Arabidopsis thaliana: one gene and its partners. The protein of the gene in region 2 binds, or shares a complex with, the protein of the main gene of each other region. Each region holds a gene or a part of one and is shown on either strand. Other genes may lie near its edges. A codon is read from its position in the direction of its gene.

The links. Proteins that work in one complex are often made in the same cells at the same time.
Region 1: the proteins of AT5G40810 (region 2) and AT2G07727 are in contact, whole or in part, in a cryo-EM structure (PDB 8BEL), measured with the Arabidopsis thaliana proteins. Residues at the interface, in NP_198897.1 of Arabidopsis thaliana: Ile83 (codon at 3,931), Leu111 (codon at 3,739), Ile112 (codon at 3,736), Arg115 (codon at 3,727), Ser180 (codon at 3,532), Leu181 (codon at 3,529), Lys184 (codon at 3,520), Ala185 (codon at 3,435), Arg186 (codon at 3,432), His187 (codon at 3,429), Ala259 (codon at 3,003), Ala260 (codon at 3,000), Pro262 (codon at 2,994), Glu263 (codon at 2,991), Glu266 (codon at 2,982), Arg267 (codon at 2,979), Lys268 (codon at 2,976), Met270 (codon at 2,495), Gly271 (codon at 2,492), Phe272 (codon at 2,489), Ile275 (codon at 2,480), Leu278 (codon at 2,471), Ser279 (codon at 2,468), Ala281 (codon at 2,462), Leu282 (codon at 2,459), Ala285 (codon at 2,450), Ala286 (codon at 2,447), Tyr288 (codon at 2,441), Arg289 (codon at 2,438), Lys292 (codon at 2,429); in NP_178804.1 of Arabidopsis thaliana: Ser30 (codon at 4,401), Tyr34 (codon at 4,413), Phe68 (codon at 4,515), Asn69 (codon at 4,518), Glu72 (codon at 4,527), Met75 (codon at 4,536), Arg76 (codon at 4,539), Asp77 (codon at 4,542), Trp82 (codon at 4,557), Leu83 (codon at 4,560), Tyr86 (codon at 4,569), Asp223 (codon at 4,980), Ile225 (codon at 4,986), Pro229 (codon at 4,998), Tyr230 (codon at 5,001), Phe231 (codon at 5,004), Val233 (codon at 5,010), Lys234 (codon at 5,013), Leu236 (codon at 5,019), Val237 (codon at 5,022), Val240 (codon at 5,031), Ala241 (codon at 5,034), Ala243 (codon at 5,040), Ile244 (codon at 5,043), Ser247 (codon at 5,052), Ile248 (codon at 5,055), Ile250 (codon at 5,061), Phe251 (codon at 5,064), Tyr252 (codon at 5,067), Pro254 (codon at 5,073).
Region 3: the proteins of AT5G40810 (region 2) and AT5G13430 are in contact, whole or in part, in a cryo-EM structure (PDB 8BEL), measured with the Arabidopsis thaliana proteins. Residues at the interface, in NP_198897.1 of Arabidopsis thaliana: Arg115 (codon at 3,727), Lys152 (codon at 3,616), Ser154 (codon at 3,610), Met270 (codon at 2,495), Trp274 (codon at 2,483), Leu277 (codon at 2,474), Leu278 (codon at 2,471), Ala281 (codon at 2,462), Gln284 (codon at 2,453), Ala285 (codon at 2,450), Tyr287 (codon at 2,444), Tyr288 (codon at 2,441), Arg290 (codon at 2,435), Leu291 (codon at 2,432), Ser294 (codon at 2,423), Lys297 (codon at 2,414), Ser298 (codon at 2,411), Arg299 (codon at 2,408); in NP_568288.1 of Arabidopsis thaliana: Tyr93 (codon at 2,231), Asp94 (codon at 2,228), Asn97 (codon at 2,219), His98 (codon at 2,216), Phe111 (codon at 2,177), Ala112 (codon at 2,174), Val115 (codon at 2,165), Leu116 (codon at 2,162), Gly119 (codon at 2,153), Arg120 (codon at 2,150), Val122 (codon at 2,144), Tyr123 (codon at 2,141), Ser125 (codon at 2,135), Val126 (codon at 2,132), Leu129 (codon at 2,123), Lys133 (codon at 2,111), Lys142 (codon at 2,084), Asp143 (codon at 2,081), Ala146 (codon at 2,072), Leu147 (codon at 2,069), Leu150 (codon at 2,060).

The regions. Positions count from the first base shown.
Region 1 is NC_003071.7:3,446,550-3,454,156, forward strand, and holds AT2G07727 (cytochrome b), read left to right. Parts: upstream 1-2,984; 5' UTR 2,985-4,313; coding exon 4,314-5,495; 3' UTR 5,496-6,227; downstream 6,228-7,607. Other genes in the region: AT2G07724 (uncharacterized protein), read right to left, coding at 1-168; AT2G07725 (Ribosomal L5P family protein), read left to right, coding at 1,853-2,410; AT2G07728 (uncharacterized protein), read left to right, coding at 7,137-7,259, 7,562-7,607. UniProt on the Arabidopsis thaliana protein: Component of the ubiquinol-cytochrome c oxidoreductase, a multisubunit transmembrane complex that is part of the mitochondrial electron transport chain which drives oxidative phosphorylation.
Region 2 is NC_003076.8:16,337,438-16,344,705, reverse strand, and holds AT5G40810 (Cytochrome C1 family), read right to left. Parts: upstream 4,844-7,268; 5' UTR 4,704-4,843; intron 4,536-4,703; 5' UTR 4,507-4,535; coding exon 4,447-4,506; exon of another isoform or gene 4,118-4,446; coding exon 3,906-4,117; intron 3,798-3,905; coding exon 3,518-3,797; intron 3,436-3,517; coding exon 3,364-3,435; intron 3,274-3,363; coding exon 3,157-3,273; intron 3,037-3,156; coding exon 2,971-3,036; intron 2,496-2,970; coding exon 2,379-2,495; 3' UTR 1,779-2,378; downstream 1-1,778. Other genes in the region: ATR (Ataxia telangiectasia-mutated and RAD3-like protein), read left to right, coding at 1-313, 403-597, 697-846. UniProt on the Arabidopsis thaliana protein: Component of the ubiquinol-cytochrome c oxidoreductase, a multisubunit transmembrane complex that is part of the mitochondrial electron transport chain which drives oxidative phosphorylation.
Region 3 is NC_003076.8:4,303,726-4,310,513, forward strand, and holds AT5G13430 (Ubiquinol-cytochrome C reductase iron-sulfur subunit), read right to left. Parts: upstream 3,846-6,788; 5' UTR 3,675-3,845; coding exon 3,500-3,674; intron 2,333-3,499; coding exon 1,689-2,332; 3' UTR 1,381-1,688; downstream 1-1,380. Other genes in the region: TRA2 (Aldolase-type TIM barrel family protein), read right to left, coding at 1-115, 312-487; AT5G13440 (Ubiquinol-cytochrome C reductase iron-sulfur subunit), read right to left, coding at 4,706-5,349, 6,117-6,297. UniProt on the Arabidopsis thaliana protein: Component of the ubiquinol-cytochrome c oxidoreductase, a multisubunit transmembrane complex that is part of the mitochondrial electron transport chain which drives oxidative phosphorylation.

The DNA.
Region 1 (7,607 bases), on a different chromosome or scaffold from region 2:
AAGACCAATCCGTATCTTTGAAAGAAAAAGATTCTCAGAAACGCTACCACCGAACATCGACTTACTCGGCATCTTCGGATTCAAGCATTTCATTCGTTCGTTGGCGCAAAAGCCTCGTTTGGCGGGAAAGCATTCATTCGTTTGCGGGAAAGCAAAAGCGTTCAGCATTGACTTCCTAAAGCGACTTCTTAGCGTGCTTCAACAGCGCCCAGATAATGCCTTGACCGGAGCCGGAGGGAGACCTAAACAGAAGAACGACCTCGCAGTGGCAACATAGCCCATCCTCAACTCATACCTCAGATTTTGAACCATACTTTGAGTCCTCAAACTTTGAGATGGACTGGACCAACACTCTTCTTTGAGATGGAATTCCCACCACTCTTATTTGACATGAACTGTAACGCTACTCTTTCAAAGATACCTAACAACCTTAGCTGGCATTGATCACTCTTCCTTCCCAATCCCTCCATTTAGAATTGCAAACATCCCAACTTCCAGAGCTACCTATGAGCCAAGGGCGGAGGGAGATATATTAGACTGATCAACTTCAAACAAAACGACCTTCCTGGACTCGCTTTCATCTCCTTCTTTGAAACGACTCAAATAATTGAGTGGGCATTGGGAGCCTTATTTAATGGTGGATTCCTGAGCTATGAATGTCTCTGAAATCGTGATGTCAAAAAGGAATGATATGCGATTATTAACTTGCTTCCTTCCCTCTAATTTTCATGCAGTAGTTGAATTTTTGCACTCTTACCTGGATGCGATTTTCCGCCTTGAATAGATGGAGGTGTTTTCCACCTTGAATTGAGAATTTTTGCATGCTCGATGGGATTTCTGCCTTGAATTATGATACATTTATTATGAATTTTTGCATGCTCGATCTGATTTCCTTCGCTGTATGGGAGTGCATAGGCCTATTCTAGCATGGGGTTTCTCGGGGTAAGGCTTGTGCTTTTCCTTCCATATAAGACTAGCTATGTGCTCCCTCGGTACGCCTGTATTCCTTTCGTGGATTGGAACCTACGTACTGTTGTATTGTAGCGTGATGTTTTCCCACTGCTTTCTGGCTTGACTCACATAAAGTACGTGCGTAACTGGCACTATCATGTAGGTGCGAAATCTGTCTTCTCCTATGTCTTGTTCTCCCAGTTTGATTCCTATGTTTCGAAGTCCAGCTAATTAGTGAAGGAAAGTGGTATGGATGTTTGGAGCTCAATCCATCGAATTCACTCGCTTCTTTGCGCTGCGTTGTAGCTCTTAGATTATTGGGAGGAGGTCATTTCGAATGTTTTGTAATTTGGAATCGTTTTTTCTTCAAGGCACGGCTTCTTGAATCGTCTTTGTCTTGTAGAATGGTTGTCATCTGGAATCTAACTAAATAGTTAGTTAAGAAGACGCGTGCTTTGTTTGGTTTTGATCTGGAATTTCACTATAAGATAAGATAAGAGTGAAGTGCTTTGTTTGGGCAATCTGCCTCCCTAAATCTAGTGGAGGTCCCGGTCCCGCCGCTCCTGTTTGTAATGGGGCCGCTTTGTGCCAAATGTGTAAGTTGTTTTTTCAATCCGTTCTAACTGTAATAAGAGAAGAGGGAAGTCCGTCTAAAGAAATTAGTGAAGGAAAGTTATATGGATGTTCATTAGTTCAGTAAAGTGTTAGTAATGTTGCTGGGAGTAACCCTTTGATCTGATCTGTCTTTGTACGTGTTATCTTGCGAGGCTGTCAGGTTGGCTTGTGAGGATGGGGAGAAAGCGGGCCGAGAATCTTATGTCAAAAGGACCAAGGATGATCTTTTCGGAAAGGAGGAGTAGGAGGAGTCAGCTTATTCTATAGATACTGTAAAAGCCAACTCATGTTTCCACTCAATTTTCATTACGAAGATGTATCACGTCAAGATCCGTTGCTCAAACCGAATCACGCCAACGTTATGGAAGTTCCTGGATCGTGTGAAATAAGAGTAGTACCAAAGGCACCCTATAATTTCATAATAAAAAATGGAAAATTGGCTATGGAGATTCCGCGCGGTCAGAAATTCATACAGACACAAAGGGGTTCGACAGGAAAGTCCTTTCGATCTAATCCATTCTTGGGGTCAAATAAAGACAAAGGATATGTAAGTGACCTAGCACGACAAAGCACTCTCCGAGGGCATGGAATGTCTAATTTTTCGGTCAGAATCTCGACAGTAATGTCTCTATTAGATTTTCCGGTCGAAATACGGAAAAACTCCATTCAATTCTCGATGGAAACGGAGTTTTGCGAATTCTCCCCGGAACTGGAAGATCATTTCGAGATCTTCGAACATATTCGGGGGTTCAATGTGACTATTATCACTTCGGCCAACACACAAGATGAGACTTTACCACTGTGGAGCGGTTTTTTGCAAAAAGATGAGGGGGAAACTCAGTAAGATGTCGTAGAAGCAAAATAGTAGAGATCACAAACGTAGATTGCTCGCGGCTAAATTTGAATTGAGACGAAAGCTTTATAAAGCCTTTTGTAAAGATCCCGATCTTCCTAGTGATATGCGGGACAAACATTGTTATAAGTTGTCCAAGTTGCCAAGAAATAGTTCCTTTGCACGAGTCAGAAACCGATGTATTTCCACGGTCGCCCTCGTTCTGTATCTGAGTTCTTTCGAATTTCTCGTATCGTTTTTCGTGGATTAGCATCTCGAGGTTCTTTGATGGGCATAAATAAATCGTCTTGGTAGCAACCACCAAACCAATAGAACAAAGAAAGGTTAGCTCCGCAGCTGGTCCACAAGCAAGGTAAGTAAGCCCATTACCAGCCGGCTCCGGACCGAAAAGTAACGTATTTAAAACCCTTATCTTGGATCGGAGATGCGAACGGGGCGGGAATCGAAGTGGGGGACCTCTCTACCGCTTGTGTCTATTTCCTGTCAAGTATGCTCCCCATACATAGACTACGTACAGGTAGTACTCTTGGAAAGAAAGATATAATGCATGAACATAACATTAACTTACGAATGTAACTCCCGACCACTCTTCTAAATATACTAAGGCGGAGAACTCTTGTTCATTGGAGCGCCGTAGTGCGGAGGTTCTTCCCATCATGGAAGTCCGAGTTGGGACTGAGCCTTCCGAATGATAATGCTTTGTTTCGTTGGAAAAACCAACGCAAATCTCATATTGACTTTCTATCGCCCTACTTCTAAGGATAGATAGAGAGAGTTACTTTATGAAATTATCTCCCTTCTAAAGCAGCGCAAGTCGGCCCCCCCAGAACAAAGCCCCTACTCCCGAGAGGTATAAATGACTCGACTAAAAGGAGAGGTATTTATTACTCGAGCACTTGTTGCGAGAGGTCCAACGTAATTTATTACTCTTATAAAAGAGGGAACTCGACTGAAAGGAGAGGTTGTTTACATACTCGACTAAAAGGAGAGGTCCAAATGGACTTCTGTGAATTACAGTGATCCAGTCTCACGGATATGGAGCTTCGCCGGAGATGGCAGGGCAAAACCTGATGGACCTTTTTTTTTTTTTTCTCAAGAGGTGATTTCGAGAATCAACCAACCGACGAGACTAATTCGAGGATGTGTTAAAAGAGAGTCTAACCGCCAAGGCAAGTCCCATGGATAAGCCCCAGCCTCCCTCTCGTTTCACTCTCGTTCCTCTCCTTACAGTCGAGCTCCTTTGTTCCTTCGGACCTCTCGCCCAAATGAAATGGGATGAATCCAATCAATAAGCTTATTGATTGATTCAGAGCGCAGCGAAGCCAAATTCAATCAAGGCAAAGGGGGGCTTACTTTTCCTGACGCTGAGTCATCCTATTCAAATTTAGCTATGCTAATGTAACAGGAAAAGTTTTCACAGATGATATGGATCCCAAGAGATGAGCGAGAACCTCCAATTGCTTAAGGATCGCACTCCGCTATCCCGCTTGGTGGACGAGATCTTCTCTCGGGTCATCCATCCTGGGTTACTGAAGGGTTGTCCGACTGCTCGGTGACCGAATCAGAGAAGTTTTGACCGCTTTCTCTTCTCTCCAGCACTCTCGGACTGATCATCCAATCCATCTTGCTGCGACAAAGCAAGCTTAGGAATGAATCTAAGAAATTTAGGTCTCTGCCCGCTTGAAAGATTCTTCTTTCCTTTTCGGTGAAAGAGGGCAAAAGTGTGTAGGAGAAAGAATTCTAAAAACGTCGACGCTTAATTCGCCCCCTCCATCCTTCAAAAGTAAAAGAAAGGCTCAAATATCAATATTATATATATATTTGAGGATATTTTAGGGCCCTAGAACGCAAAAAAAAGGTGGGTGAACAAGAGTTGTCACGATAGGAAAGAGAAATGACTATAAGGAACCAACGATTCTCTCTTCTTAAACAACCTATATCCTCCACACTTAATCAGCATTTAGTAGATTATCCAACCCCGAGCAATCTTAGTTATTGGTGGGGGTTCGGTCCGTTAGCTGGTATTTGTTTAGTCATTCAGATAGTGACTGGCGTTTTTTTAGCTATGCATTACACACCTCATGTGGATTTAGCTTTCAACAGCGTAGAACACATTATGAGAGATGTTGAAGGGGGCTGGTTGCTCCGTTATATGCATGCTAATGGGGCAAGTATGTTTCTTATTGTGGTTTACCTTCATATTTTTCGTGGTCTATATCATGCGAGTTATAGCAGTCCTAGGGAATTTGTTTGGTGTCTTGGAGTTGTAATCTTCCTATTAATGATTGTGACAGCTTTTATAGGATATGTACTACCTTGGGGTCAGATGAGCTTTTGGGGAGCTACAGTAATTACAAGCTTAGCTAGCGCCATACCTGTAGTAGGAGATACCATAGTGACTTGGCTTTGGGGTGGTTTCTCCGTGGACAATGCCACCTTAAATCGTTTTTTTAGTCTTCATCATTTACTCCCCTTTATTTTAGTAGGCGCCAGTCTTCTTCATCTGGCCGCATTGCATCAATATGGATCAAATAATCCATTGGGTGTACATTCTGAGATGGATAAAATAGCTTTTTACCCTTATTTTTATGTCAAGGATCTAGTTGGTTGGGTAGCTTTTGCTATCTTTTTTTCTATTTGGATTTTTTATGCTCCTAATGTTTTGGGACATCCCGACAATTATATACCTGCTAATCCGATGTCCACCCCGCCTCATATTGTGCCGGAATGGTATTTCCTACCGATCCATGCCATTCTTCGTAGTATACCTGACAAAGCGGGAGGTGTAGCCGCAATAGCACCAGTTTTTATATGTCTCTTGGCTTTACCTTTTTTTAAAAGTATGTATGTGCGTAGTTCAAGTTTTCGACCGATTCACCAAGGAATGTTTTGGTTGCTTTTGGCGGATTGCTTACTACTAGGTTGGATCGGATGTCAACCTGTGGAGGCACCATTTGTTACTATTGGACAAATTTCTCCTTTGGTTTTCTTCTTGTTCTTTGCCATAACGCCCATTCTGGGACGAGTTGGAAGAGGAATTCCTAATTCTTACACGGATGAGACTGATCACACCTGATCAGTGAAAAATTCTGACACCAATCATTTACATATTACACCAAGAATTGACAAGCAGATAAGTTTTCTAGTTTGCTATGTTGATATAGCTTAGATAGGGAAAAGATAACTCCACTATAGAGTAGGGCTGTACTTCAAAAATCAAAAAGGGTCCCTCTCCCCCTTTTTTTATTAAAAAATCAAAAAAGAGGCCCCGCCCCCCAAGGCCTAAGGAAAAAACCTCTGATAAAGAAAGAAAAAATATAGAACTAACCTTTACACTATAACCATTAAGTCAAGTTATTAACAATCCTATACTAAGAGGAGAATTCGGATCAGCTCGGGCGGAAGAGGAGAGGCGAAGAAGAAGACAATAAGCACTCAGATTGGACCAACCTTTCATTTAAGGTTCGTCATTATCTTTTCAATCCTGACTAGAATCAGGCTTCTCTTGAAAAAAGGTAAGGAGTTATTCGATATAATATGGTATTAACCCTAGCGCCTAAGTCACCCCCGCAAGGTAGGAAGAAGATAAAGGAGAAAGTGAACGGAGGAAAAAAAGGCGATAAGCGAACCGGCGGGCGGTAAAAACCACAAAGAATTTATATAGAAAAATAGGTACTACCAATATGAAATTAAGAAAGACATATATACCTGAAACAAAATTCTGTAATGACTATGTGACCATGAAGGGAGTAGTTGATTCGCGTTCCAATTCATTGGCAAAATCCGGTATAAATATAATAATATAACGAGATCGTCGTCTTGACAAAGATGAATAGAAAGAGTGCTTTTTTTTTAATGGTAACAATTCTTATTGTTTTTTTTTCTTCGAAGGAAGATCTTTCTTTGACTAAAAAGGTTTCCATTTTTAATAGATTGTTTGTGGTTGTACCTTTACTGCAAGAATATAAATGACTCGCTATTCACTCGAGGTTTCTGGGTCATAATGTAGGAGAGATGGCCGAGTGGTTTAAGGCGTAGCATTGGAACTGCTATGTAGGCTTTTGTTTACCGAGGGTTCGAATCCCTCTCTTTCCGTACCTTTACCTAATTCACCAACGTTACCGACCGCGCAATACCAATCGAGACCTCTAAGACGAACTAAAGGGATGTCTCTAAGCAGCCAAGGCCAAGAGCAAGCAGGAGTGGTCCTATCCGCCCATTCATTTTTAAGTGACTTATAAGACGTGAGAGATACTCTAAAGTCATAACGGGGAAGGCCAGAGACTTCGTTCAAATGGGGGGAGGTTTTCTCTTCAATAAAATGAAAGGCAGGTATTTTTATACGAAAATTGAGAATTCAATAATAAATGTTCACTTGAGATTAGGTTCGCGAAGAAGAAGATCACAAATGAGATCTTGAGCTTGAAGCTTACTCTCCAGAATCGAAAGATCTCTTATCCCCGAGGCGAGGATGGCTTCATAAACTTTTTTTGCCGAAGGAAAGATAGATAAGGGGTTTCATCCATATTTTTCTCCCATTTACGTATCACGTTCAGAGATTTTAATTAGTTGTCCGCTCTTTCCGTACCTTTACTTACCGACCAAATACCAAGACTACTTACAACAGGTGGTGAGGATCAGCACACTGCGGGAATCTAAGGAATTGATTGCTGTGCATCGACCAATCTCAGAAAGGGAACTATAAAAGAAGGTGAAGATGCACCGAGGCATTTATGAAGACGCATGGTATGCTGTGGAGAAAGGGGTGAAAGGAGTAGAAGCGGCAGGGCAAGAAAAGGATAGTGATAAATGGACAGACGCTGAGAAGAAGAAGTCGAAAGTATAACAGCAAAGCACTGTCAGCAATCGCAAGTGACACATTCAAGGGTGAATCATCCAAAGATGCTTGGGATATCCTACAGAAGGGTTGACAAGTGTAAAGAGATCTCGTATTGATATGCTGCTGGCTTCACGGAGGAAAGAGAGACCATTGAACAATTCATCTGTGCTTTGCCAATGCTGCTCAAAATGAAAGACAAAGACAAAAGTCAAAAAGCTTCTGTTCTGTAGCACACTCCCGGCGAAGCAGCCCTTCGCAAGCCATGAATGACATAGATACCCTTGCGTTTGATGTTGTTGTAGGTCACCTACAAGCGTATGAAATGGAGACTGAGAAGTCCGAGAAAAA
Region 2 (7,268 bases):
TCAATGTGCTGTTAAAAAGGAGTATGAGATGCTGAAGACCAAAATCCTCCCTATGTTCCCTCCGGTTTTCCATAAATGGTTCTTGACAACGTTTTCTGAACCAGCTGCTTGGTTTAGGTCACGTGTAGCTTATGCTCACACCACAGCAGTTTGGTCCATGGTTGGGCACATTGTTGGGCTTGGTGACCGTCATGGAGAAAATATTCTCTTTGATTCTACTTCGGGTGATTGTGTTCATGTAGACTTCAGTTGCTTATTTGACAAAGGCTTACAACTGGAGAAGCCTGAGTTGGTGCCATTCAGATTGACCCAGGCAAGAAACTGCAAAATCGTTTGTTTGTGTTCTGTTGGTATTTTGTTTTCGTTTGTCATAATAGTGAATTGTTATTTTCCAAACCACAGAACATGATTGATGGTTTGGGCATCACTGGATATGAGGGCATCTTCATGAGGGTATGTGAAATCACTCTCACAGTGTTGAGGACACATAGGGAGACGTTGATGAGCATCCTGGAGACATTCATCCATGATCCTCTTGTGGAGTGGACAAAGTCACACAAATCAAGCGGAGTAGAAGTTCAGAACCCACATGCTCAGGTTTGCATAATCATTTAATGATTCTCTTTCATGTCAGTTCATTTACCCTTTCTTTTTTTTCTAATTGCTTGAGACAACCACATGATTTGGCAATTACAGCGGGCCATAAGCAGCATTGAAGCCCGGCTGCAGGGCGTGGTTGTTGGTGTTCCGCTACCGGTAGAAGGTCAGGCTCGCCGGTTGATTGCCGATGCAGTCTCACTTGAGAATCTTGGGAAGATGTACATCTGGTGGATGCCCTGGTTCTGATGAAAATCTCTGAACACCAGCTGTTGTTAAGTTCACACTACACCAGTTTTCATAATGCCATTTATGTTAATACAGTAAGTTGACATGCAGATAACACTATCCTATGAAAACATGGGTGGCTACAAATCTTTTTGACATGCAGATGTTACTTGTATCATAGGCTCCTTGTGCACAAACTTCCTGTAGAAGTTGAAGCTAAAACAGTACATAAGCCAGGTCTCGCACTGTTTCATGATTCTTTGTGGAGAACGGTCAGTAACAATAGTGTTAACTGGAGCGGTCTTGGCTGCAAAAGTTTTGAATGCTTGAAAGGTCTTAACTGAGCCGGGATTTTGTTGGTTGCTTTGATCTAGCTCTGGTCATGAGAAAGATAGGTTTGTTAAGGTTAAAGTGAAGACTGATTTCCTGATAGATGATGTTTGGGTTTAGGCGATGGGAAAATCCGAATCGGATTCGATATTAGCAGCGGATCAGGCACGTTTGCTGCTAGAATGGCTGAAAAGAATCTGAATATTATCGGTATTACATTAAATATAGATGCTCCTTTCAGCGAATTCATAGCTACAAGAGGGATTTTTCCGTTGTTCAGAGGGAGTTTGGATTAGAGATTCCCGTTCTATGACAATGTTTTTGATCTCATTCATGCTTCTAACGGATTGGATTTAGCGGTTAGTAGTAAACCCGAGAAGCTAGAGTTCTTGATGTTTGATCTTGATCGGATCTTGAAACCCGGTGGATTGTTCTAGTTAGACAATTTCTATTGCGGTAATGATGAGAAGAAGAGAGTTCTTACGCGTTTGATAGAGAGGTTTGGGTATAAGAAGTTGAAATGGGTTGTTGGAGAGAAAACTGATGCTGAGGTTTTTCTCTCGGCTGTTCTGCAGAAGCCTGCCAGGATTTGATTGGTTTTTTTCTTCTTTTTAATCAAGATTTTGATCTTTTCATAGGTTATAAAAATTTGAGCTCATTACATTTTTATAAATATTGATTCCAAGGGACAATTAAAAGTGTGGACTTGTATTTTGAGGTTTTGTCCGATCCTGCATGTTTGTTTCATTGTCTGTAGGATTGTGCAATTTTGTTTGGTAATGTCTTAACGGAACTGGTTTTACATTAACGGGTCTAAATCCTGCCTACATTTTTCTAAGTTTTACAAAATCGAGTTCGCAACAGAGGTAAATTGGTTGTTCTGTGGAGTTTTGGTCTATCAGAAATAGACCACAGATTTTAACTTTTTAACTTTAATAGTTACAAAATCATGTTTTGTGATATACAAATAGGAGAGAGATTGTAAAACCACATTTTTATTAAGACAAACCGAGTCCGGTTTAGGAGACAACAAACCAAAAAGAAATAATATAATCTCAAAATCATGTGTGACTTGAGGTTAAAAAAGCTTTACTTCTTTGCCTCATTAGACTTTCTAAACAATAAACAAAGAAACATGTCTTTTGAGACAAAAAGTGGGATTCACCATTTATCCCTTTCAAGATTAATGATTATTACCCAGAGAAAAGGTGATCTTCACGGGATTAGTTAACAACGTCGAGAACAAGCTTACGGGATTTGAGTACTGACCATTTCAGTCTCCTGTAATACGCAGCTTGAAGCAGAGCCAAAGACAGTAAGAATATCCATTTGAACCCCATCTGCACACACATACAACCAACGTTAACAGATATCTAAGCACAAAGAGTTGGATTCTCGGTATAGCGGGTTTTTTTGGGTCGGTTTAGAACCAACATGACGGTTTTGAATACAGAGTAACAATACGGTTCATGTTTGATAATAGTTTTGGTCTGAGATTAGCAGCCTCAAGAAACAAGCAGTAGTGTGGTCAACACAACTATGCAACTAGGTGTGTTCAACACAACTATGCAACTAGGTGTGTTCATCCCGCTATACAGAAGACAGAACCAAGGAAATCTTAACACGGATAAAATGGCGATACTTTTTCTACATCCAAAACCAATCTATACTATGCCGGTTTAAGTTTGGTAACAATTTTCTCAAACTGAATCTGAAAATCAAATAATCAGAATCCAGATTGATATTCCTATTGCAATCTCGTACATATGGAAACGACAGCTTAAAACATGGAATATATGAAACTAAGAAACTTACCAATTTCCTCTCTTCCATCTCTGGTTCAGCTGCCCAGGACAAGAAGGATACAACATCTTTACCCATCTGCATCATGTTTTTTAAAAAAAGAAAAATTAAAGATTATATAATTGACTCAGAGGAAAGGTCAAATCTGATAAAACTTTATGGTCTGCAAATTATTTTCTTAAGCAGAGGAAAACTAACCTGTGCTTCTGTTGCAGGAGTTCCATCTTCATATTCCACAGCTTCATCGTTGAGCATTTTTGGCATAGCGATTGCTCCACCAGGGAAATAAGGATTGTAGTGTAGCCCCTCTCTGATCTGTACCCGTTAGTCACAGGATTATTTCTAACTTCCAACAATTTGAAGTTGTAATAACAAGTCTAAAGCAAAAATAGGAGAGAAATTTACCGAAATTCCAGCAGGAGGATCACGATAACCAGTCAACAGAGCAAAGACATAATTTTGGCCATTGTGACGTGCCTGGAAGAAAATAGCCAAATTGCTTAGATCATAGTAGATGAATTTTCTAATTGTATACAAATGGAGAGAAAGAGCACCAAACCTTAGTTACAAGACTTAGATCCGGTGGATACGCTCCTCCATTGGCGAACCTAGCAGCCGATTCATTTGAGTATGGTTCAGGAAGCCGATCACTGAGTTTACCAGGTCGGGTGAACATCTCACCCTCATCATTTGGTCCATCAACAACCTCGATTTCAGCTGCCATGGCCTTCGCCTCTTCCTCTGTGTAGGCAACACCCACCAAGTCTCGGTATGAGATCAGAGACATCGAATGGCAAGACGCACAAACTTGCTGATAAACTTGGTGACCACGACGGATCCTGCTCATTACAAATCAACCGTCAGTAAAGCAGTCTCAAATTTCTCTAATTTTCAACTTTAGTGTTGCAATTTCACTATGATGATTGAATTGTAGCTTGAACACTCACGAAGCATGGTCATATGAGCTGAGAATGCCCTCATGTGGCCAAGGGTAGTTAGGACACTCCAGACCATGTTCAGCCTCATCAGCAGATGCAACAGTAGAAAAACTCAATAATCCGGTAATACCAGCACCCATGAGAGCAAATGCTCTTAAACCAGCAGACCCAGCATCTTCATTCGCTTTCTTCGAAGACAACCATGACAATACCGGAGTTGCCTATGGTGGTAGATAATACAGAACAACAGTAAGAAAACAAAAAAAAAGGCCAAGACACAAGAAGGTGTATGCTCAACAAATCAAAAGACTACTTTTTCTGAAAAGAAATCGAATATTAATCATACTCTCGAAGCACAAATCAATAAGTCTAAGTTTCTTATATCCCAAAATCTCCAACGCCACAACAATTCCAGTTACAATTCTTCAAGGACAATCTCTCAGAGCAATGAAGGTGTAGACAGAACCAAAACAAATCATATGATTCTATCTTCAAACAGATCCTAAGCTACAGCAGAAAATCAAAAAGATGTAACAGGGAAAAAGCTCACGACTGATTGGGAATGAAGTTTCCTTCTAAGAAGCTGCCGGATAACTCCTCCTCCAACCATTGGATGAACACTTGTACCAATCGATCTCACTGATACAAACAGAGAAGATTCTCAGCCATTACATATACCCGAAACAATGAGTAAGCCCTAGAAAACTCGATTCTCTATATAGATCCGAAGTTCCAACAAATAAACAAAATTGAATGAAGAAATGGCAGATTCGGATATGAGATGTGTCGAATCGAGAAAATACTCACAGGAAAATGAAGCAACGAGATCGGCGATTGACGAACAGAGGAGGAGGAAGAAGAAGAAGAAGAAGAAGAAGAAGTAAACAGCTACCAGAGAAAATGGATGTCTCCGGATGACGCGACTGGACTGTCACACACAACACAACAACACCTTTCAGATTTTTCAAGTATCATGGGCCTAATTTAATCCATTAAAAGCCCATTAAGGGCCTATCCGTACAGTCAACAGCCAAAAAAAATATCTGGAATATTTCTCATTGGAATAAATGGACCAAATCTTGAAATTTAGTAAAGGGAGACTTTGTGTAAATGATCTATGTGTTGTTGTTTTTTTCAATAGTGAAGAGTTCATTAGTCCAGAATGTTCAATTACAAAAAGATTAACACAGGCTGAGATCGAGATCACATTCTGGCTTGTTTAGTAAATATGTCGATCGATAAATTATTATGGCTTGCATTAACTCATTTTATAGGGTCCAAAGCGAGGCTGCTTTGAATCTAACATGCATTATTGTAGTTCAATATCGAGAGGCGCAAATTTGAAAATACAACATATGTTTCGTATGCTCTCGGGATACTACATCGACTCCAAAATTATAATCTTCCTTAAACTTGAAAATGTGTTTCAATTTTACATAGTACGGGAAAATGTAAATGAGAAATTACATGTTCGCTTTTGCTAGGTAAGTTCATATATTAATTCCCACAGGTTTGTGAATGTTCATGGTATGTTTAATATCTGTTACTCATCTTGAATATCTTTGCTGAATAGAATCTCTTATACCTAAAAACAGAATTTTAATTAAGCAGGAGAAATTCTCATCATGACTCAACTCAAGCCGAATCATTAGGTTTTTGCAATCATAAGTTGTGGTTCGGAAAACGAATTTGGAATCATCAGAAAATTAATGAATGAGACATCGTCCTGGAAGCTTTTCTACATATTTTCAAGCCACGAAACAGTAACTTTCTTAATATGTTGATTGGTGAGTCCTTTAGTGTCTCAAGTGGAAGTAGTTTTTCATTTATGAGAGATGATTTAATATGAGTCGGTTTGAATGCTATGCATTTCCTTTCGTGTCTTAGAGAAATGCCTCTATTATGTTTTGGCTTTGGGGAATACCTCCTTTAATTATGTTTTAAACTTTGTGATCTTTGAATCACTCCTTCTTGTACTTGTTTTTATGTGAATGAATGAAAACAAGCCTTTGTAAAAAAAAAAACATATTCTTCTCTTAACTTTATCTACAAGGACCATTCAGCTTTATCAAAATTAAAAGCTATGCTATTATCTTGTCTAAGAGCTAGATAGCGATCTGCTTTTATTGGTGGTATGAAGGAAAAGTATAATTATATGATTAAGTATGTCATTATAGTAATTTTTCTACCTAAATGAATGTTAATTAATTTAGTTTATTTTGGGATGAGGCACCTCCCCAGCAGGTATCTTAATAACATATCAAATAAGGGTTTCGATTTGAGACATGTTTCCACATTGTATCACGAATTGTTCATCAGTGCCTAATTAAGAAAATATACAGTTTAAAATTTGTGATTTTAAAATAATAGTAATTTTCTTATAATTAAAAAATATTTATGTATCATGACCAACGCCTATTTGCTTGTAATGTCGGGTTACTTTCACTCCTTTATCAAAATTGTATCAAATTTTTGTATTTGCGTATAATAATTGTATTATAATGTTTATATATTTTGTAACCTTGTTTTATATCAATATATCTGATTTGACAAACAAAAAAAAGAAATTAAACAACCTAACATTATTTCTTTCAGAATTTAGTGTGTGTTTATAGGATTTTAAATCTAATTTTATATGAGGTATTAGATAGTGGTAATGTATTATGTTAAGAAACGAACTTAAATAATAATAAAATAATAAATATGATTTTTATTGGGTTTTATGACAAGTGAAAAGAATCCACTCTAGCGTATTTCAGTATGTTTTTACCGATAGAATTTATCCCAAAAAAAAATGACAAGGTGAAAGAATACTTATGCTTTTGTGTGATGTATTATGTAAAGGTAATGAAAGATACGTATGATAGGTTTATTCCGTGAAATGTTTTTCATAGATATCAAATGCAAATGATAGGTTTATTCCGTGAAATGTTCTAACCGAACCTAAATGATTAACACACCCAAAACCACACCAAGATGACTTTAGCTATAGAATGAGAGCACATCCCTAGAACCGGAGCTACATAAGTACATAGATCCGACCATAGGACAATGAGAAGACCTTATGGGTCATTGCTTTACACTTCCATAAATAGAGACACAATATATACACATGTATATATTTCCAAATGTGCCCTGACATGCCAGTTTTTTCAATTTTGAAATGGAGGACACTTCATGCAATTTGGTTGGTTGGGAGGACAAAGAAGGACCATACAAGAGTCTTGAAATGTGGTAAAAAACACCAGATGCTGTTTTAGCCTGATCATGGGACCCATACACCTAATTTTATCATATACTTATAAATCTCATATTAATAAAGAGCAATAAGCCAATCAGATCACACATCGCAGTTCCCAGAATTATTTGGGT
Region 3 (6,788 bases), about 12 Mb from region 2:
GACTGGACGGCAAAGATTATCATACCAAGGACTCTGACCTTCCTTCTCATATAGATCATGAAGAGTCGTTCTCTTTCCAGCAGTTCCATTTCCACCAGACACTGAACACCTCACACTGCAAATTAAACAAAAAAATCAGACTTTTACCAACCAAAAAGGGGAAATACAGTTGCTTTTCCTAATCCATCTTATAAAAAATGTTACTTTGAGATTCGTGGTACGTTTCCAGCTAAAAAGATTCAATTTTTGGTGAACCCCAAGAGCGAGAAACAGAGACAAAAGACATGCATCAAATGGATATAAAGACTTACGAGAGGGAAGGTATTGATCGTTGGTTATAACGAAGAGAAAGCTGAGAAGAGGAAAGCTTTGCATTCAAAGCGCGGAAATTGACGAAGGATCTAGGTAAGACGGAGGAAGAGGAAGAAGATTTGGAGTCGACGCAGGTGGCGCGGGGAAGATTAGCGAGATTCGAAATGGTTGCCATTTTTTTCGTCGAGGGAAATACGAAAGTGTTTTTTCTTGGTTTGATCGATCGGAGGATAAAAACAAAGAAAGGGGCTTAAAAATGGGGTTGGTGAAGTTTTGAGTTAGGTCGGGAACGCAAACGACGAAACTATATCATGATGGCGATAGATGCTCATAGTTGACCATTTTCTGTCTTATTTTACATTCTAATTTCTTACAATTTATCCAAATGTTAAAACAATAAATAGTTATATACTAGATAACAAATTTATTTAATTTAGATAAATGTGATTTTTTACATCAGATGGTTTTAATAAACTTTCTCTAATGTATGATTAATCAGTCTGAAATTAGAAAACAATGAATAAAATAATAAGAGATAGAGCGGTGTCTTATGATAAACACGAGAGGTTGCTTAGTGAGGACCTTTGGCTTGTAATTAGTGTGTAATGGCCGTTGTTAGTTTGCAAGGGTCGGAGAAGTCACTTCCCATATCCCAAAAGGAAAACAACTTACAAGAGATAAGTCACTTCCCATATAGTTCATGGCCGTTGTTGGTGACCAAAACAAACAAGATTTTAACATTTTCATCTCCCACAATGGTTTTTACCCAAATCAAACTTTGGCTTTTGTGTGTCAAACATTTTTTCTTAACTAAAAAAGATTAAACAGAATAAAATATTATGTTTTTGTGTTCTTAGCCAATCTAGAAAAAATCTAGCTATGCCACTTTTGGATGATTGAATATTCATTCACGGGATGTCTTACGAATACAGTTTGAACTTATTCGGTTATCTTCCTGTAAACTATCAATCAAAGCTGATATATTACCTTTTGTTGTTTGTTTCTACGTTGGTTTTTCTCATACCTTTAGTTTTTCTTTTATGAACGTTGAGATACTATCGAAACTCAAATGTAAATACAACTTTTTAATTGGAATGACGATGTTTAGAATTATGAGATACGAAAGGAATCTCACTCATACATAGGACAAATAGGCATGTTAAATAATAAACACAGACTATGAACATAGTCGTCTTTTACTAGCGATGGATAAACGAAGATTGAGTATACTTCAAACAAAAATCACAAGTTTGTATTATTCAGCAAAAACAAGTCAATCTTGCTCTAACATGCCGGAAAATATTAATTAAAAGAAAAAAAGAACAAGTGAAGATCATCATTCAGATCCAGACTCTTGACTGTTGTGCTTTTATTAATCAACCGATGAGTAACTTATTCTCTTCCAGGAAGCTGTAGGTTGGTACTTCCAGGTTGTATGGTGCAGGACCTTTCCTAATTCTTCCAGATATATCGTAATGTGATCCGTGACACGGACAAAACCAACCACCATAATCACCAGCATTAGGCAAGGGGATGCACCCCAAATGAGTGCACACTCCAACAACCACTAACCATTCTGGATTCTTGACCCTAACCGAGTCTTCTTGTGGGTCCCTCAGGGATCCAACATCCACACTATTGGCCAGCTTGATGTCATCTTCTGTTCTTCGCCTGATGAAGACGGGCTTTCCACGCCACTTGACTGTCACGGTAGTTCCTGGTTCTATGCTCCCTAGGTCAACCTCAAGGGATGCAAGGGCAAGGACATCTTTACTTGCAGACATGCTCACAATAAGCTTCAAAACAAGCAGGCGGAGGACAGAGGCATAAACAAACCTCCCACCCGACAAGACAAAATAGGCGAATGCACGCTTGCTAGGGTCACCAGGTGGGTAACGCTCATGGTTATGGTCATCATAGACAATCTTTGAGTTAGGCGTTTTGACAGCTTCGACTGTGGCTGGGACTTCTGAACCAAAACCTATCTCATTTCCTTGAGCAAGGACTTGAGAAGAGAAGCCTGAAAATAGCATGAAACATTAATATTTCACATCAAAGGCAAACTTTATACTTGGTCAAGTGTTCTACAAGAATAAGAATAAGCCACAGGACTACCACAATCAAGATGTGACCATTGATGTATAATCTTCTAAGGAAAAACAAAAGTACATAAAACGGATTCCATGAAGTATGAGATCCATCCAAACAATTCAAACCATCGTATCAAACTCGGGGAGTGGAAACTTAAATACGATAATCTCCATAAAAAAAACAAGAGAACAAATTCAATGATCAACATGGAAACAGAAGAACAAAAAATTGGAATCTAGAAGCCAATGTGAATCACACTATGGATAACGCATTCCAATGATTTACAAGCAAGGAGCTTTAGTCATCAACCAAAGAATTACATCTAAACAGGTCAATCCATAATCCATCAATAAACTCAAATGTTCATTTCCTTCTGGACGAAAGAATGAATCAGAGAAGCCAAGTATACCAAATTCATCCAAACAAATCAATAATAACAAATTCAGTGAAACCTTAAATACTAAAACCAACGTAATAAACCAAGAGAAAAAAATATATTGATCAGATGCTGTATATTACAGAAACGCTTAAAACACAACAAAATTTCCAATGCTAAGAACAAACAAAGCTCTTTGGTTAAGAAAACATAAATTTCAGAATGCAAGTTCCTCAGCATGCCTTTAAACAGCTATAAATCCTACAAACATAGTATACAGTTAAAACATCCATGTCCCTAACAATGAAGAACTCAAAAGGATTGATACACAAGATCAAATTTCAAAAACCAAGAAGCCAGTGGTGAATCATACTATGATTAACGCACCGAAAAGAGGAAACTTTCCTAGTAAAACAAAGGATTATCTCAGAACTGAACAATCCACACGAAAGAAGTAATCATCAAATGCAATACAAATCCAGCAAGGAGAAGAATGTAGCCAAATGGTACATCAAGCTCATGGAATTCAAATCAGATGACACGTTTGTTCCCACGGATCATTGCAGATACAATACTAGAAATCTCAATCATTCCCGTGAATCATACAACCAAAAAAAGAAGACCTTTTCAAAAATCAATCAATCAAATAAAACTGCAAAGAACCACCGAAAATGAAAAATCAATGTAGAGAGAGAGGGAAAGGGTTATAAATCGGCAAACCTCTGATAAGGCTACGGTGGTAAGATGAGAGATCTGCAGAGGGGAGGGATCTGGGAGCTGAAGAGGAGTCGCCGCCACCATCGGAAAGGGTATGGTCACGGGAGACGACGAAGGAGGTCGCAGTCGAAGATCTCTGCGAGACAGAGAAAAGCCTCCTCCCTGCTACACGCAGCATCTCTCAGCTCAAATGTGAATCTAGGGTTTCGCTCTAGCTGAACAGAGAAATCCTCAGGTTTGGGACGGCCGATGCAAAACAAAACATAAGAGACTACTTACTAGTAAGTCCCTTAAAAATTGTCTTTGAGAAAAGGTCAATTTGTTTTGTTTTTTTTGGTTTTTGCGTATTACTTGATATTTTTTTACTTCAGGATTTTGATGGCATGGTTTTTTTTCTAATTTTAATTAATAAAATCTTTTGGTTTTACGATATAATTTTTTTGTGTGTGTGTATTTGTAAGATAAATTATTTTATTTGTATAAAAATCGTAATTTTTAATAATAATAATAGGGGGTCTATACTTGGTAAAGGATATATTTTGTTGTTGTAATGTTTAAACAAGATTTCCAACAAAAAGACTGTTTTACATCTGTGTGAACTTTTCAATACTAGAAGAAAGAGCTAGAAGGACATCATCAAAGAAGTAGTCATCGATGAAAACAATCTGAACAAGAAAATTAGGCTAAGATCCACAACCAGAATATGACATCTTTCATCAAAGTAGTAGTCTCGAGGTTCACAATTGGATTTCTCACTATGGAAGAGAAGGTTTATGGCTTAGTTGAGAATTGAAGGTCTTCGAAATGTCGTCTCCAGTAAGAACACGAAAGTTTTATAACACACCTTGAACCTTACCAAGTTTTTGTCTCAATTGTGATAATGGCTACAGACTTTAAGGAAAGGAAACTCTCTTACAAACGATATGTTACAAAATTACAAACATAAGAAAAATAGGGATGATACTATTCAAAACTCTTTTCAAATAATAAACAGAGACTATGAAGTATGAACAATGTATTTTCACCAGATGAGACAGATACTAAGTCATACAATGACAAGTTTGTATTATTCAGCAAAACAAGCCAATTTTTGCTGAGCCCAAAGTGTGAGGAAAGCGAACTTGCACGCTAAAATGCCGGAAAATATAAAAACAAAAACAGATTTAAGATCATCCAGACCATGACACTCGGACTGTTGTGCTTTATTCATTAACCAATGAGTAATTTATTCTCTTCCAAGAAGCTGTAGGTCGGTACTTCCAGGTTGTATGGTGCAGGACCTTTCCTAATTCTTCCAGATATATCGTAATGTGATCCGTGACACGGACAAAACCAACCACCATAATCACCAGCATTAGGCAAGGGGATGCACCCCAAATGAGTGCATACTCCAACCACGATCAACCATTCTGGATTCTTGACTCTAACCGAGTCTTCTTGTGGGTCCCTCAGGGATCCAACATCCACACTATTGGCCAGCTTGATGTCATCTTCTGTTCTTCGCCTGATGAAGACGGGCTTTCCACGCCACTTGACTGTCACGGTAGTTCCTGGTTCTATGCTCCCTAGGTCAACCTCGAGGGATGCAAGGGCAAGGACATCTTTACTTGCAGACATGCTCACAATAAGCTTCAGAACAAGCAGGCGGAGAACAGAGGCATAAACAAACCTTCCACCCGACAAGACAAAATAGGCGAATGCCCGCTTGCTAGGGTCACCAGGTGGGTAACGCTCATGGTTATGGTCGTCATAGACAATCTTTGAGTTAGGTGTTTTGACAGCTTCGACTGTGGCTGGGACTTCCGAACCAAAACCTATCTCATTTCCCTGAGTAATGACTTGAGAAGCAAAACCTGAAAATAGCATGAAACATTAATATTTCACATCAAGGGCAAACTTTATACTTGGTCAAGTGTTCAACAACACCAAGTATTAAGCAAAAATATTTTCAAGAGATAACACAGAAGAAAGGAATAACACTAGCAAACATTTAACATTAATGCATAGAATAACATAAGATTATAAAAACGGATTCCAAGAGATAACAGAAGGTGTCATCCAAACAATTTTCTACCATGATATCAAATTCAGTGAAAACTAAACTAATCTATCTAACGCAAGATCCAAGGAAGGAACTTCAATGATCATAAATGCTTAAAACATAAGAAAACTCCTAAGATAAGATTGCAAACATAGCCCTTTTGGTTAAAGATATGGAATTCCAGATTCGTTTACTGATGCAAGTATCTTATATGATGTGCCCAAAGACGATAAAACATCCATTTCCATAATAATGAATAAACTACATGTCAAAATCGATTATCTCATCAAAAAAGGATTATCTCAAAGCTGGTCAATTCATATCCGATCAATCACTATTCCAGCAAGGAGAAGAATGAGACGAAATGGTACATCAAGCTCTAATACACATCATAAGAATTCAAAACAGATGACTTAATTCCCATAGATCATCTCGCAGATACGAAACTAGGAATCTCAATCATTTCCGGACTTATACAAGCCCAAAAGAGGTGACTTTTAAAAATTTATGAATCATTCAATGGATAACACCAGAAATGAAAATCAATCGAGAGACAGAAAGAGTTGTAGATCGGCAGACCTCTTATAACGCTCCGGTGGTAAGAATTGAAAGATGAGAGATCTGCAGAGGGGACAGATCTAGAAGCGGAAGAGGAGTTGCCTCCATCGGAAAGGGTATGGTCACGGGAAAGGACGAAGGAGGTCGCCGTCGATGATCTCTGCGAAACAGAAAAAAGCCTCCTTCCTGCTACTCGCAGCATCTCTGCTCAAATGGGTTAAGACCGATTCTAGGGTTTCGCTCAAAGCAAGAACACACAATCGTAAGGTTAGAGATGGCCGATGCAAACAAAAAGATTAGTCCTTTACCAAAAAAATGTTTTTTTTTCTTCTTTGCGGATATTCCTTTAATAGTCTTCGAGAAATCGTCAATTTGGTTTTTTTACTATTAATACTGAAGAGAACAATGACGGTGTTCTAACATGATAATTATGTAGCTTCGTGGCATCTTAATGTTCATTCGTGAGTATGAATAAGCTACTTGGGCATAGTTTGTAGATTTATTTACCAAATTAGCCCAACGATTCAAATCTAAACAAAAACAATCTCATTGAAATTTGATGTCTCGAAAAGCTTTATTTCGAAGCAAACAACAATATGTAAAAAGCAAATGACAAAATTCAAAGGGAGAGAAGTGGCCAGCTATTATATTGTTTCCCAGGAGGGTCCATATTTATTTGTCAATTGGTGGCAT